Caenorhabditis elegans: one gene and its partner. The protein of the gene in region 1 interacts with the protein of each later gene in a pairwise test. Each region holds a gene or a part of one and is shown on either strand. Other genes may lie near its edges.

Region 1 (6,222 bases):
ACTTACGATAGCTCTTTGAGCGATCTTCTTGGCCCATTGAGTCTTCTGGAAGTTCTCGGTGACCTTGGCGGCATCGAAAGCTGCCTTAACTCCCTTGGTGCGTTGTCCAACACGGAGCTTGAGGACGAACTTGGTGAGCTGAAGATCCTTCAAGTTTCTGACGGTGCGAGTGACATCGGAGGATGGTCCATCGATTTGAACCTGAAAATAACAATTAGAAGCCTGTATTTATGTTTTCTTGGGGCTACGTGTTTGCTTAAAACAAACGCTCAGCTAAATTTATATCGATTATATTCGAAACAATTTCAAAAGGGAAGTTGTGATTAATCATAAATTAACAATCTAATTACTAATTGTTCAGTAAATCACTTTAACGAGCATATTTCAGTGATGATTTCACTATTTAATGATTCAGAGCTATGCTTTCCGATTTTTGCATTTTACAAACATTTCTGATCGCATTGATAATCTAAACGTTTTAAAAAGTTTAAGTAAAATTCAATAAATCTGCTATACATTTTTTTTTCTTAATTAATAAATGACTTACTCTGTTTCCGTCGATAACGTTGACGATGGCAGCAAGCTTGCCTTGGTCTTTGCCGGAGGCGATGAAGACGACGCGCCCAATTTGAACGACACGGTTGAAGACCATGTTTACTGAAAATTAAATAATAAATCAAAATTATAACGCGTACATTGAGAAGTGAAGAAACACCGAAAAAATTGACTTCACCAGCTAAAACGATATATTTTGAGCAAAAACTTATGATTTTAGTATTAATCGATAGACAAACTGGTTCTGAATTTTTCTTATATCGTTTTTATCACAGAAACAACCGAAAAATATCAAAAATTTGCTGAAAAAGAAGAAAATTTGGGAAAAAAATCGCAAAATGAGTAAGACAGCCATAGGCTACGGTGACAATTTCGTGGCGAGACCCACATGGGGCGGGACACGTGCAAGTATGCGGCGCACCCAACGCAACTGCGGCGCAGTTTATCTCATCTTTTTCATTGTAGGAAGGGGAACTTTGCTCAATTGTTTGCTCTTATGTAATTTCAGTGATTAATGTATGTATTTGTACTGAACCTGTATGAATTTCATTAAACCGGTGAATTTTCAAAAAAGTCGTGTTCATATTTTAGGAAAAAGCAACTTAGTCCAGTTTTTCGATATAAATTGCATTTTGTAAATTAATACAGGATGCATGGTAAAGTTTTATTACTGAAAACAAAATAAATAAAAACAATTCTGCGATATTCAGTAAACATAACGGGAATCAATTAATTTAACTGCATCATCTTCTGCCATTTGATTCATAGCATCGCGCAATCGGGAAATTGATGAGTCTTCAAGTTGTTCAAATTGGTCCAAAAGAATCATAGTCGGGCTTGAATCGTCTCCCGATGAGCAAATAGAAATAAGTTCCACCATGTGATCACAATTGAGTTGTTGTGCCAATCTTTGCCATTTGCACTGATCATCAAATATTTTTGCAACGCGAATTCGGGTCAAATAATCTAAATTGCAGACCGAATCACTAAGCTTCGGATTCCGATCCCATTCACTTCGACGCCTTCGTGTTCCCGACGATGTTGAGGGTCCCGGCTGTTGCTCATCTTCAGATTCAGATGTGGATATTCTCGAAACACGTGGAGCCATGGAGTCAGTTTCAGCGAGAAGAGTTTGAGCGTCTACAAAAACGGATCTAATTTCAAAAAATCTTTCAGAAAACATACCATTTAATATTTCTTCTCTAGATCTCTTCACAACTCTGTGCCGCCCACTCTCTTCACCTGGAGCCTGATCTGGATGAGATCTCCCAAATAAGGGAGATCTAGAAATAGCTAAATCATTAGGAACACCAAAAGCTTCTTTCTTGGGTAGTTCGGGTCTATCTCCATTTATAATGTTTTGAATAACACTATCTTCACTATCTGCCAAGCATATTCCTTTAGAATTTTGTCTATTCGGATCAGCTCCATTATCTAAAAGAAGGCCAATCACTGGATAGTTAACGTTTTTTACAGCCAAGCTCAATGCAGTCTCTCCAGATTCATCTTCTATATTTGTTCCTGATCCTCTCTGAAAAAATATTAAATTTAAAACAATGTTTTTCTATGTACAGTTACCTCAACCAAAAGCTGAATAGTCTCAAAATCATTCATTTCAATTGCGTGCATCAACGCATTTCTTTTCTTTTCAGTATCCAAAAAATCAATCAATGCTCCCGCTTCAATGAGCATCTCAATCAACGACAGCTTCAACCTTCTTACTGCCACGTGAATCGGTGCAAATCCCTCCGAATTCAGCTGATTCACATCAAACCGTTGACCTCTAGATGGTTCTAATATTTCTTTGAAAATTGATTCATTGTATGCATCTCCAAGATAATGTAGAGCCTGAGAAGTATTGAATAATCTACACAAAGCGAACATTTTGTCTGTTATATACTTACTGTGCTCCCATGATTATCTGATATGTCAATTTTGGCTCCATGATTCATGAGATAATGAACAGCATCGGGATCTCCAGTCCTTATAGCTACATGTAGTGCAGTAAGACCATGTGTGTTTTGTACATTTATCACTTCTGAAAATATTACCCATATGCAAAATATTGCGCCAAAAATAAGATCTCCGGTCTCGACACGACAAATTTTTGCTAAATGAGAAAAGGTGTGCACCTTTAAGAAAACTACTGTAATATCAAACTTCTGTCTTTGCAGAATTTGTTAAATATAACCTTCAAAACAAACTATGAAAATTTACAAAAAATTGTCGTGTCGTATTTTCTGCGCGAAAAAATGCGAAATTTCGCGTCTTGGTGATATAAATACTGAAGTTTTTATGCCAATTCAATCACAGGTGCTTTAAATAGCTTCGTCTCAAAACATCTTACCATTTTTAATATCGGGTGGAATCACTGAAAGTAGAAGCTTTAATGAGAAGCTCTGCCCATTCTTCGCTGCCACATGGAATACTCTGGAATAAATTATGAATGTTGTAAAGGAGAGGAAAACTTGAAATCTTACGTATTTCCTTCAATATCTTGTTTTGAAATTTGTGCTACAAAAGGCTGAAGTAATGAAATTGTGTCTCCGTTGGTGGCAAATTCAAGTAAATTGTCAAAAAGCGATATTTCCTGAGTATGCGAACGTTGGATTTTTCGTGGCAAGTATTTGAAAGAAATCGTTGTCACATTATCATTTGAAGTTGAAAATCTGAGCTCCACTTCCAATTCTGAGTCTACTTTCAGAGAAGGGACTGTGAACATTACAAGCTGTAAAACATCATTAATTATATAAGTTTTTACACAGATTTTGTTACAGATTACGGAGAATGGGTACAATTTCAATGCGAATTTTATCATTTATTGAAATTATATTATTTTTTCAGTTTTCCCTTTTACGAAACGGTCCTTACCGAATGTTTCCTAACAACATCAATTGCACTCTCTTCAAATTGATCGCCTAGAAAGTGAATTGTGATGAGTTCAGTGGCGTCTCCTGTATTAAAAAGAAAGATTTTCTTCATCCGACTGTAACTTAAACTAACCAGCACCAGAACATGTTGCCCAGACGCGATCACCAGCAGATGCTTCAATAGTTGAAATATCATCAATGAATAACCGGCGATGTTGACTTGAGGATTTATGAATTGATGATGTATGGGAATTTATCTAGACAATAATTTGATATACTTTTTTATATTCATAATTGCTCGCTTCTAGAAAGTGCTTGATTATTTTCTTATTTGGCTCATATGCCATCAGGGTAAAAATTTTAAAAACTAATTTTATAGAGTTAAAATGACCAAATATAAGTATATATCTGTTCTGAAAATTTTTGATATTTTCCACCAAAAAACTGGCGATCACACAGTTTTCGCCATTCTCAATTTTGTAATTGTACCAAAAAAAAACGTTTTTTTTCTACCAATTTTATATTTACTTTATAATTATGTTTCAAATATTTGTATTTAACCATTTTAAAGGTTCAGATACGTAACTTTGCTTTAGATTTCTCACAAAGTCCAAATGGTTGGCAAATTTGGAAATTTACCAAATTTTTGACTGGGAATTTTTAGAGTTCTTTATTATGATATTTGGTTATTTTGGAATTATATTGATTATTATATTGAATATATTGATTCATATAATTCAGTCAAAATCCTCATTGAAGCTAATATATTTTTTAACTACAGTACTAGTAGTACTACTACAAACCTCTGAGTCTGATCTCGATTTGTGAACTCCATTTTCTGTGAGATTAGCATCATTTTCATCAGCTTTAGACATTATTAGAAAATGATTAAAAAACCAATAATCAAAATGAAACGAACGAGAGGATATTAGAATGAGGGTATCCCGCGAGAAAGCTTCTCTCCAACGACCACCGCCTGCTCGACTGTGTGTAAACTCGGCAAATGCCTATGTCTCTTCAACTTTTACACTATTCGCACGATCTTTGGGTTCAAGCACTTGGTCGATCGGAAAAGAGCGCGAGGACAATCTTATGACAATCTGATGGGGATGAATGAAAATATCAGCGGATTTGGAGAGAAATAGAGAAGCACAGAAAATGATGATGTGTTCGAAATGAACTAGAATGTGATATTGACCACGAGCTTACACGTAAATATCAGACAATCTAGATACTGTGTCAAAAACATTTGTTAGATAACTCGATAAACAACTATGCCAACCTAATAATATGAGGTCATATTTGGAGCTGATCAGAGTTCTCCAAGAGATCTAACAGTGGTGTCACCTTAAGAGGAGATATAATTTTTTTTTTTAAAGATGATGCAATGGACACTTCGGAATCAAAGTAAACAAATACCCAATTGAAAGTTAAGACAACTGTATTTAAATATTTAAAAAAATTTTAATAAGGACGTTGTTTTTGATAGAACTATTAATATGTTTCTATCAAATCGAGAGATCTGCAAAAGTTCTGATTTAAAAAACCGTTGTCCAATCAGCATGGGATCAATTGTGGCAAAAATGTTAAGCTTTTCGGTTTCTGAACTGCCTACTTTTCATTGATGAATTTTTTTTCCTTTTTTTTGGAACGAAAAAATTCGCAAAAAATTTTCCCGTGGTGGAGAGTTGAACTCATGTTTGTTTGTTTTTTCTGGACCCTTTTTTTTTCTTTTTTTTTGGGACGAAAAAATTCGCAAAAAAGCTCAATTATTGTTACAATTAAAATAGTCTGCAGATAAAACATTAAAACCGCTTTGAAGTGTTTTTTTTTACTCTACGTTATTTAGAAGTGTTTCATCACACACTGTAAATAAAGCACAGATTTCTGAAATAAAACAATAAAAGTTTGAAATAATCCGAGTGTTTCTTTCTAAGTATCTTTTGCATTTGCAAACATATCGCTAGTTGGAAAGTCGAGTTTTTTTTTCAGAAATAATTTGCAGTATTTGCAAGACTAATTTTCGATTTATAGTCAACTATGACTCAGAGTTAATTGAACGGCAAATAATAACGCCAAGACAGTGTGCACTGATAAAGTGAACAATGTTTTGGTAAGGTGACGGTTTACTGTTACTTTTTTCATTTTTCATCGATTTTTTAAATGTATTCCCTGTGGAACCACTATAAAAATATAAAAGACTTGATATTGGCAAAACTATATCAACAAAACAACAAAATAACTTACCGTTTTTCCTCATTAGTATTGCACCCAATTGTTCAACTTTGACAGCTTATACTATCTCAGTAATCGTTTGTACTATTCAAAATTTGTCATCTAACAATATATTTTTTAGTTCTTTTTCTATTATTTCGTAGTTTATAAAATATTGATATCTTTGAAATGAATCGAGATATAACGTTTCAAAGTTAAGTAGCCGGTGCCATACTAATAGAGGAAATACGGTAAAATTGAGAGGTTTAAATGTCACCAAAAATTAGATAAGGGAAAGAATGATCTTTAACCAAGTCTTGCCCGAGTTTGATTTAATTTAAGCCAGGAAAGTTTGGGTAAAATATAAAAAGGAGAAGAAGCTGTCGTCCCTCAAGCATTGACTTAGGATCGCTCTCGTTCCGTTAGTTCTCCTGAAATATAATTAATAGGTACGAGGGGGTCGTCGCCTCAAATCCTCGTCTCACCCTCTTTCCACCAAATCTTTGTGTACAATTGTTGTCCCTTTTTTTACTATTTTTTGTGCCTATGCCATTTCATTATCACTTTTCGAGTGTATATTCCA
Region 2 (8,394 bases), on another chromosome or scaffold:
AACCAATATAAGAAAATTAGATTAATACAAACATTCATTTAATAAATGCTATTGTAATTTCAGATACGAAGTTTCCGCCAACGAGCGCTTCACCGTCTTCCAACAAACAGCTGGCCAAACTTGCCTCTTCACTTTCAAAGCTTAGAATCCACAATCGAATGCAATCGGAAATCCAATGAATGTTTCCTTTTTCTCAATAAATATTTTATTGAAACTCGAAAACAGAAGTGTTTTAAAACCGAAAGTCGTAATGGGTAATAATAATTAATAATACTTGTAAAAGTGCTTTGTACCTAAAGATGAAAACACTAAAAAGTTGGGTGGCATCGGTATCGATAACAGAAAATTACAAAGGAGACATTTTAATTGAAAATGAAACAAGAATAAGGCCCGAAAAAACATAATTTAGAAGATCTGAATGCGATGATTCTCGCGATCGGTGACAACAATTGAACCGTCAGCAGTGACACAAACATCTTCGACACCTTTCAGTTGTCCAGCTCCTCCACCCCAAGTTCCGAAAGAGGAGACAAATTGACCTTGGGCGTCGAAAACTTGGATCCTGTTGTTACCGGAGTCGGCGATTATTAGGTTTTCCTGAAAATGAATGGTTTAGAATTTTTCTTTAGCATTCCAGCCTTACCTGTGAATCAATAGCAATTCCACGTGGGAATTTGAATTGTCCACCATGAAAACCTTCCTCGCCGAATGAAAACAAATGAACACCGTGGGGATCGAATACGCTGATTCGATGATTCGAAGAATCTGATACATACACCTGAAACGATTCAGAATGATTCATGAATCTATCTGGAATCACTCACGTGATGAGTAACTCTGCTAACTGCTATGAACAATGGACTGTTTAGTTGACCAGGTAGATGTCCGAAAGATCCGAATTTTGCAATGAATTGACCATTTTTGTCGAAGACTTGGACGCGGTGATTATCCTATAATTTAAGCTTCACTTGTATTTTAGCATGTGGGGCAATGTTTTTTAAAATTTAATCTAGATCTGCAAAGCGGACCACAATAATGTCCGGCGTCCGAATTTCCAAAAAAAAAAAAATTAAAAAATGATACTCAAAATACCGGACGTCCGGTTTGCCTGCAATATATGAATCTACAAAAACAAAGTTCTTCTCTTGATGATAATTAATAAACAAAGTTAATTTTTATCAAAATGTATACAATTATGAACTTTCGCATTACTGAGAAACGTCTCATGATAGTTGACCTACCTTATCAGCCACATAGATACTTCCCAAATCATCGACAGCAACTCCCCATGGATTATTGAACTTAGCATTTCCCTGTCCATGTCCACCGAATGAGAACAAATGATCTCCTTCCAATCCAAAAACGGAAATTCGATGATTGTACCTGTCGGATACAATAACTCGGAGCTTTGAGCTTGCTAGCCCGGCAGCTGAATCAAGTTGTCCGGCACCGGCACCGTAGCCTCCGAACTGACGAACAAATTTTCCATCTTTATCGAAAACACAGACACGATGATTAGACGAATCACAAGTTGCGACAAGACCTCCGGACAATGCACAAATTCCACGTGGCCAGTTTAACTCGCCATCCTTCGCACCTTTTCGTCCGAATACTGCACGTGGTCTACCACGAGCCCTCCATTCACCAGCTTCACGAGAAGCGCTGCGGCCACGCTGTCGCAAAACGGCAAGCTTCTCTTTCTCTTCGTCGGTTGTCGTAGAAGAGTCTAAACGAGATTGACGTTCGGCGAGAAGCTGCTGCACTCGAGCACTTGTGAACTGTGCCTGTATGTCGGGATTTGTGCGCGAGCGTTGGAAGCGTTGCCTCCGACGCTGTAACCACGCTGGCACGACGATGTCACTTTCGTCTTCCTCACCTGTGAAATGTGTGACTGGAATCGCGACTTGTTCAGATGTCCCATTGGTGATCGGAGCGGATGCCGGAAGTTGATGTTGAGGTGGCGGAACATTTATGATCGTACCAGTTCCTGGGATCATACTCATCAGTCCATCATCACGGTTTACAGATGCCGCGCGACAAACTATTCGTATTCTACCGCGGTTGGTGGATACGGGAAAATCCTCTCCCTCTGATTCTTCACTTGAAACTGCTCTTGATGCAGCTCTAGATGCATCTTGACGTTGTTGATGAGCTCTACGGATGGTTTCCACTTTCTCATTCAAAGAATCATCGTTACTGGACTGTTGACGTGGCAGAGGTGGCTTTCGGATCGGAAGTTGTGGAAGTGGAGCAGGTGATGCATCTTCAGTCCTCTCAACCCGTTCAACAGATTGTGGTGGAAGAGGAGGTTTACTAGCTGGAGATACAGTTCTTGGTGTTTCAGTATTCGGAACAATCAGACTTGTTGGCCGTGACTTGGTTGGTTCAACTGATCGGGTGACACGATCAGCAGCCCACGGCGATGTTCGTGATGAAGAGTCCGCAGTGACTGATGTAGTAAGAAGAGAAGGAGCAGCAGATGAATTACGGAGACGATTCCAAGCTTCGTCTTCCAGCTGCTGACGACGACGGTAACGAATCGAGGACTCATCAGGCTCAGGATTTCGATGACTGAAATTAAAAGAGGATAGTTTAGAGAGGGAAACTGTATGGAGAAGTAATTGTGAGATTATACATTTAATAAATTATCCAAGCTAAATTGAACTATAACTTCAATAGATTTATGTCAAAATGCCGGTGCCAAATTTAATATTCATAAAGGGCGATCAATATGTGTTTGGCCAAAAAATAACCAAAATTGGATAGTAATAAACCAACATAAAAACGCGGAAACGCTTTTACTTTTTTGTCTAGCCGTTTTTCTTCAAAAATTCGAATAAAATTTTGAAAATAATTAACTTTTAAATAGTTTTTTAAATTGTCCGTTGCCCCTTTCTTAAATATTATTATTTTTATTGGCATGGCAAATTTAGCATCTTGACACAATTCTGGCGACCTCTAAGATATTTTAATGAATAAAACATAAATTGTACTATATTTGAGTGTAAATTGCAACAATAAGCCGTTACATAGAAAACTGAAAACATGAAGTCGAGAGCCAGAGACCGGACGTAGATTCATTTTGACACCTTAACAATGTTGATTTTCTATAATTAGTGTTCTACACTATACAACTAAACTACTTGACTAAAAATCACACGTTTGTTAATAAAAAACCAAAACCAATTCCCATGGAACATACCTGTGCCTTGAAGATGTCCTATCAGCTTCTCGATCTCTCATACTTGCTCTTTCGTCAGATTTAACCCGATAACTGTCACTTTCCAATGGTAAACGGAATGGTCTTGGAAGGTATGATTGTTCAAGAGGGAGGTATCTACAAAGTATTGACTAAAGATTTTCGTTTTTTTTGAAGTTTTTGAAATATACCTTCCCGAAAATTGAGGAACTAGAACACAAAGTTCACCAGAAGTAGTGATCGCTGCTGGAAGCTTAGCAGCATCATCTCCAGCTGAGAATCGGAGTTTTCGATTAAAAAGTTCGTCGGCGTCGGGCTAAAGCATTAATACAATAAGAAATGTTCAACAATTAAATTAAAAAGTTACCTGAAAGTTCCTAAGATATTCAAGCCCTTCCGTAAACGTGTTTTTCATTCGAACAAGTTCAGAATCTTCAATTGAACATTCTCCCTGAAAATTTTAAGATTTTTTTGTTATGATATCTTTTTGAAATTCTCGATAGCTTCAAAATATTCAATGAAATCCCACCTTGATTGCAGCATCCAGTCTAGAAACTGCTTCACTCATATTAGAACTTTCAATTTCCAGAACATCACGAAGATTGCTCATATTACGAGTCTCAGTAGCTTGAAATGTATCAACTTCCATGAGAAAGTTGTCTTCCTTCTTTTTCAGATCTCTCTGGTATCTGAATTTAATTTTTTTTTCGGGTTTTTATATCTTTTCAGACAAACCTGTGGAAATATTCTTTAATTTCTGCTTTTGTTGTCTCACAGTTCATTGTCATCATATCAACTCCTTTTGATAAATTATCCGATGCTTCCGTAATTCGATTGGCAAGCCGTTTAACCTGATTCAAAAGTCGCGACATGTCTCTTTTAAGCATATCCATATGAGTCTGTCGACATTCTTTACATGCTTTTCTATCACAATGTGCACATGGTTCACAGTCTGCTTTCTCATCACAAATCTTGCACCGTTCCAAATTGTACCTGTGAATGTACTCTTCAATTTCTGCAGCCGATTCTGGTGTGGCCTGCAGATGAATCTCGAGAAACCCGGTTAATGTGTAGTTTGGCTGAAAATGAAATATTTTGCTTCAAAGTGATACTTATTTTCACACCTGAAACGCCTTTACTCCGTCATATGGAATATTGTGTTCTGCTCGACATTCTGGACATTTCAAATTGCGATGTAACGTGTCTGCACAACTTTCCAAGCATGGATAGCAAAATGTGTGTTGACAAGGTAGAAGCTTGGGTTGTCTGAAAATAGTTTAAATCTATAACTTGATATTTAAAAGTTTAGCCATTCTGTTCAGCATTTATCTCTATAAAAATCAAAGCTCAAAGTATTACATTTCAACTACCAAGTTCTTCAGATGTCCAATGTCAATATCTCACGATTTCACAACTTTAAAAAATCATAAAAAGTCTCGTTTCTCTTTCTAAATATCTTTCAAAGAGATCACGTCCAGCAGGCTTCTTCGTTTCCTCATCGGTGTAATACACACACTTTGCAGCCCCATAGCCAATGGCAAAATAGTTGAGAACTGGCGGAGAATCCGATTGAAAAGTCTTCTCTTGGCTCCCTTCTCGATTGTAAAAAAGAGAAAAGAGAAAGTAGAGGAAAAGCCGTTCGACATGGAGATAGATACAACGGTGAAGCTGTTTCGAAATACTCTAACAATGAGTTGAGAACAACTGTGTGATTGATTTTGAAGTGTTTCATTGTTAAAAAGTGGATTGCCACCAGTTGAAATATTGTCATATGATTTCTAAGATTTCGAAAAAAATTCCAATCATCTATTGAATTGAAAAAAAAAATATTTGAAACGTTTCTTTTATCGCAGGAGGTATTTTTGTGAATTTTCAATGAGCACCGGGTTATAGCCCAAAAGCTAGAGCTTTTAATCTAAAAAATTGGCAAACTTATGATTAGGAAACTTCAATAAAAACGTTGAGTTTTGAAGATAATCGCCATTGAGAAAAAATGTTTAAAAACACTCCTAGTGGGCTAAAATACTACGCCAACTCTTCTTACTCGTCTTTCTCAAAAACAAAAAGATTTATAAAAAGTTAGCAAGATAAAACTTGAGAAATTAAACTTGAGAAGACAGAACAAGAAATGGCGAGTTGAAAAATATCATAGTATTACACCTTCTAAGCTTGAAAAACTTTACCCCTACGTTCACTAAATACAATGTTTGTCATGATTGTCTGAGGTCTCGTGCAAAGTTATTCAAATTTTTTACTTTTTTTTATTTTATTTTTGAGACTATAAGTGTATTATTCAAATATTTTACAAGAAAAGGTTCTCGTTTTTAAAATGGATGTTTACATTTGTTCATCTATAACAGATCAATGAAACATCTCTTTTTTTTAATGTTCCACTTTTTACTCTGACGTAGGTTAGTCTATATTTATTGACACAAACGTTGTTGATTTAACCCAAAAATGATCCTCATTTTTAAAAGATCCCTGCAGGATCTTAGATTGTTGATTTCTCCATAACGTTCTCCTAGCTAATCATCATAACAGTCTGTCTGATTTTATTATTGTTTTGATGCACAGTGCGTAAACAACCGGATGTTTATTATGCATCCCCTAAGTCTATCTCGTTTTTTCAAAAAAATTCCCCTCAGCCAAGCGGTACTTAGCCTAGGTCATATGATAACAGTGGTCAGTCAGAAGTCACACGGCCTATGTCTATCCTTGAACTACACACTAATAGTTTGTTTTGGTTGTCCGTGGTGCTTCTTCTTTCAATTTCGTCTGCTCACTTTCAAAACGAACAGCTGATTGAGATCACAGACTTACTTGTAGCGATCGAGACAAATCGGACACGTCAGCAACTGCTCGATCTTTTCGAGAGGATTCACAAAATCAGCTGGTCGACTCGATGGTGGACGTGACATCAGCTCGCGCATCTGAAAGAATCTATGGGTCATGTGGGTTAGAGATGATTGCACTAATCAACTAATCAATGTTGTACAGGGACTTAACTTTTTCTCAAAATCAGTGGAATAACTTTTCATTTAAAAAATAAAAACGTTACTTTAAAGTTGCAATGTCTATTTGAAATAAAGAAAATTTGTACAGCACCTATAGGGAGCTTAAACGAAATATAAAAATTTTGAAAATTGACAAAAATTTTAAATTTAAGTTTTAAAACTCAAAGGACCGTTATAGGGTTACCAATATTTTTAAGATAAAAAATTTCAATGAATGTCTCTAATAATTATTTTTTGTAGATGTTTAAAGTATATTTCATTTCCAGTTGTCCACAAAATTAATTTTTAAATGTTTGGAAAACGACGAATTTAAGATTTTCTTTAAAAAAATAAATTTTTTAGAACAAACCTTTTCGCGAGCTTCTGCTTCATTTTGTGGAGAACTGCTCATAAGGATTGAATTTTAGAAATATTGGAATTTCGAATTAAAAAAAAACAGGATAGAACGAGAAGACGAATCGAATATAATAATAAAGTGGGGTGTACTTGGAGAGTTGGGGATGAGTGTGCCGAGTGCTCCCGGGAGCCAAAAAAGATTTGAGACGCAGAGAAGTTGGAGAAAGATCTGGGGAGCAACAGACGAAAGACGCCCCCAGCCATCTCCTGCAAACACAGCGGCGGCCGATATCAATCGGTGTGCGTGGGGTGCGCGGATCGGATTTTGAAAAGTTCTTGGTTGAGTCTTTTACTGGTTTTTAGGCTTTGTTTGACTATTTACTCATAAGTTTTGAAACCGATGGGAATTTGAAAAAAAGATCAATAAGATATGAGGATATGAACGGCGGGAAGATGCAGCTGGTTTGTTGGTTCTCGAAGATTATGATAACTGTCCTGAACGTTGAAATATTTGAGAAGAAATTGACAAATTGAACTTCAGTATTTATTTTCAGAAGCTTGAAAGTGTAGATTAAAATTAGGATGTTTCTTTAAAACATAAAAATAGTCCGAAATTCAAAAAACCACAAAATAAAATCGAAAAATAAACCGCAGAAAAATGGAAATTCGAACTATTAAAACCGCGATTTTGAATTCCCTCCGAAATAAAAACTTTGACCAATCAGTGATTTGCTCCGCCCACTTTTCAACCAATCAGGACGATTGTGTAGAGTTTGAAGACGTTGAGTGGTTAGAAAATGGGCGTGGCTTATACTTTTGGAAGAAGTTTAAAAATGGAGAACAGTCACAATTGAAACTTGCCTTTTTGGTTTGTTCATTCTTTTTTATTTTTGTGGTATTTTCATAACACTTTGAGTATTTTTCTTTAAAGCACATTTTTTTAAACTTTTCAGGTAATTTGACGATTTGACAATTTCCCGAAATTCCTTTTTTTGTATTTAAAATCATGATTATTTGATTTTTCAAGCGTATGTATGTACTTATTTTGTCTTTTTTGTTGGTAAACTTTTGAAACTAATGATCATATAATTTGAATAAAATCTGAAAGTTCAGCATCCTGCTCTCTATAATTACGTAATCTTCAAAACTCCCACTAACCACCTTTCGACTATTTTTCATTAAAAAAAAACCAGCGAGTGCAGTAGCTAGAAGGCGTGCGAAATTCGCTGGTTACTATGACAATCGCTTTCCGGAGGGTGGGCGGAAATAATAAAAAATAAAGCAGTTTTTGAGTTGGTTAATCTAATCACAAGTTTTGTTTGTCTATCGTCTGGTTGCAACGAAAAAGAGTAACGCGCTGGAATTTATGCAATGGCCACTTATTGCCGCTCTTTTTACTCAGTTATATCACTTTGTAATTGGAGATGGTAAGTGAAAATGAAATAGTAAACATATTACTATTTTAGTTAGTTTTGGTTTAGAGACGAAATTTCGCAAAATGTTGGATAACAATTAAATTTATAAGAAATTACTACTCTCTTCTAACTGTCCAGCTTATCTCGGTTTTTTTTGGTTTTATCAAAAATTTGTTAATTGACAAAATACGCGCTAAATATTGATCTATATTCTGAAACAGTTTTTGAAACAGTTCACTTAAGAAATCCGAAATATGAGCCGTCAAAATAGAGAAATGATGGTGCAAGTCTAATAGGGAAAAAACTGCGTTTTAAATTTTATTTTCCAATTGCCAAATGCAAAAATCTTAAATATCATTCTAATCGGTAATACTTTTGATAACTTTGAATATATCATTTACAGATTGTTATTGCCCATTATGTGAGTTGG

Evidence for each region.
Region 2: the proteins of ikb-1 (region 1) and nhl-1 interact in a two-hybrid assay, tested with the Caenorhabditis elegans proteins (2 studies listed by BioGRID).

The regions. Positions count from the first base shown.
Region 1 is NC_003279.8:9,683,632-9,689,853, reverse strand, and holds ikb-1 (Death domain-containing protein), read right to left. Parts: upstream 4,457-6,222; 5' UTR 4,301-4,456; coding exon 4,229-4,300; intron 3,683-4,228; coding exon 3,559-3,682; intron 3,510-3,558; coding exon 3,427-3,509; intron 3,284-3,426; coding exon 3,036-3,283; intron 2,986-3,035; coding exon 2,903-2,985; intron 2,594-2,902; coding exon 2,460-2,593; intron 2,404-2,459; coding exon 2,134-2,403; intron 2,087-2,133; coding exon 1,741-2,086; intron 1,696-1,740; coding exon 1,262-1,695; 3' UTR 1,201-1,261; downstream 1-1,200. Other genes in the region: rpl-14 (Large ribosomal subunit protein eL14), read right to left, coding at 7-201, 548-652.
Region 2 is NC_003281.10:9,147,201-9,155,594, forward strand, and holds nhl-1 (RING finger protein nhl-1), read right to left. Parts: upstream 6,703-8,394; 5' UTR 6,605-6,702; coding exon 6,563-6,604; intron 6,130-6,562; coding exon 6,020-6,129; intron 4,466-6,019; coding exon 4,324-4,465; intron 4,279-4,323; coding exon 3,935-4,278; intron 3,889-3,934; coding exon 3,729-3,888; intron 3,651-3,728; coding exon 3,567-3,650; intron 3,516-3,566; coding exon 3,391-3,515; intron 3,338-3,390; coding exon 3,203-3,337; intron 2,572-3,202; coding exon 1,242-2,571; intron 951-1,241; coding exon 825-950; intron 779-824; coding exon 644-778; intron 598-643; coding exon 406-597; 3' UTR 195-405; downstream 1-194. Other genes in the region: ZK512.8 (uncharacterized protein), read left to right, coding at 64-145; Protein irld-34, read left to right, coding at 7,916-7,976, 8,368-8,394.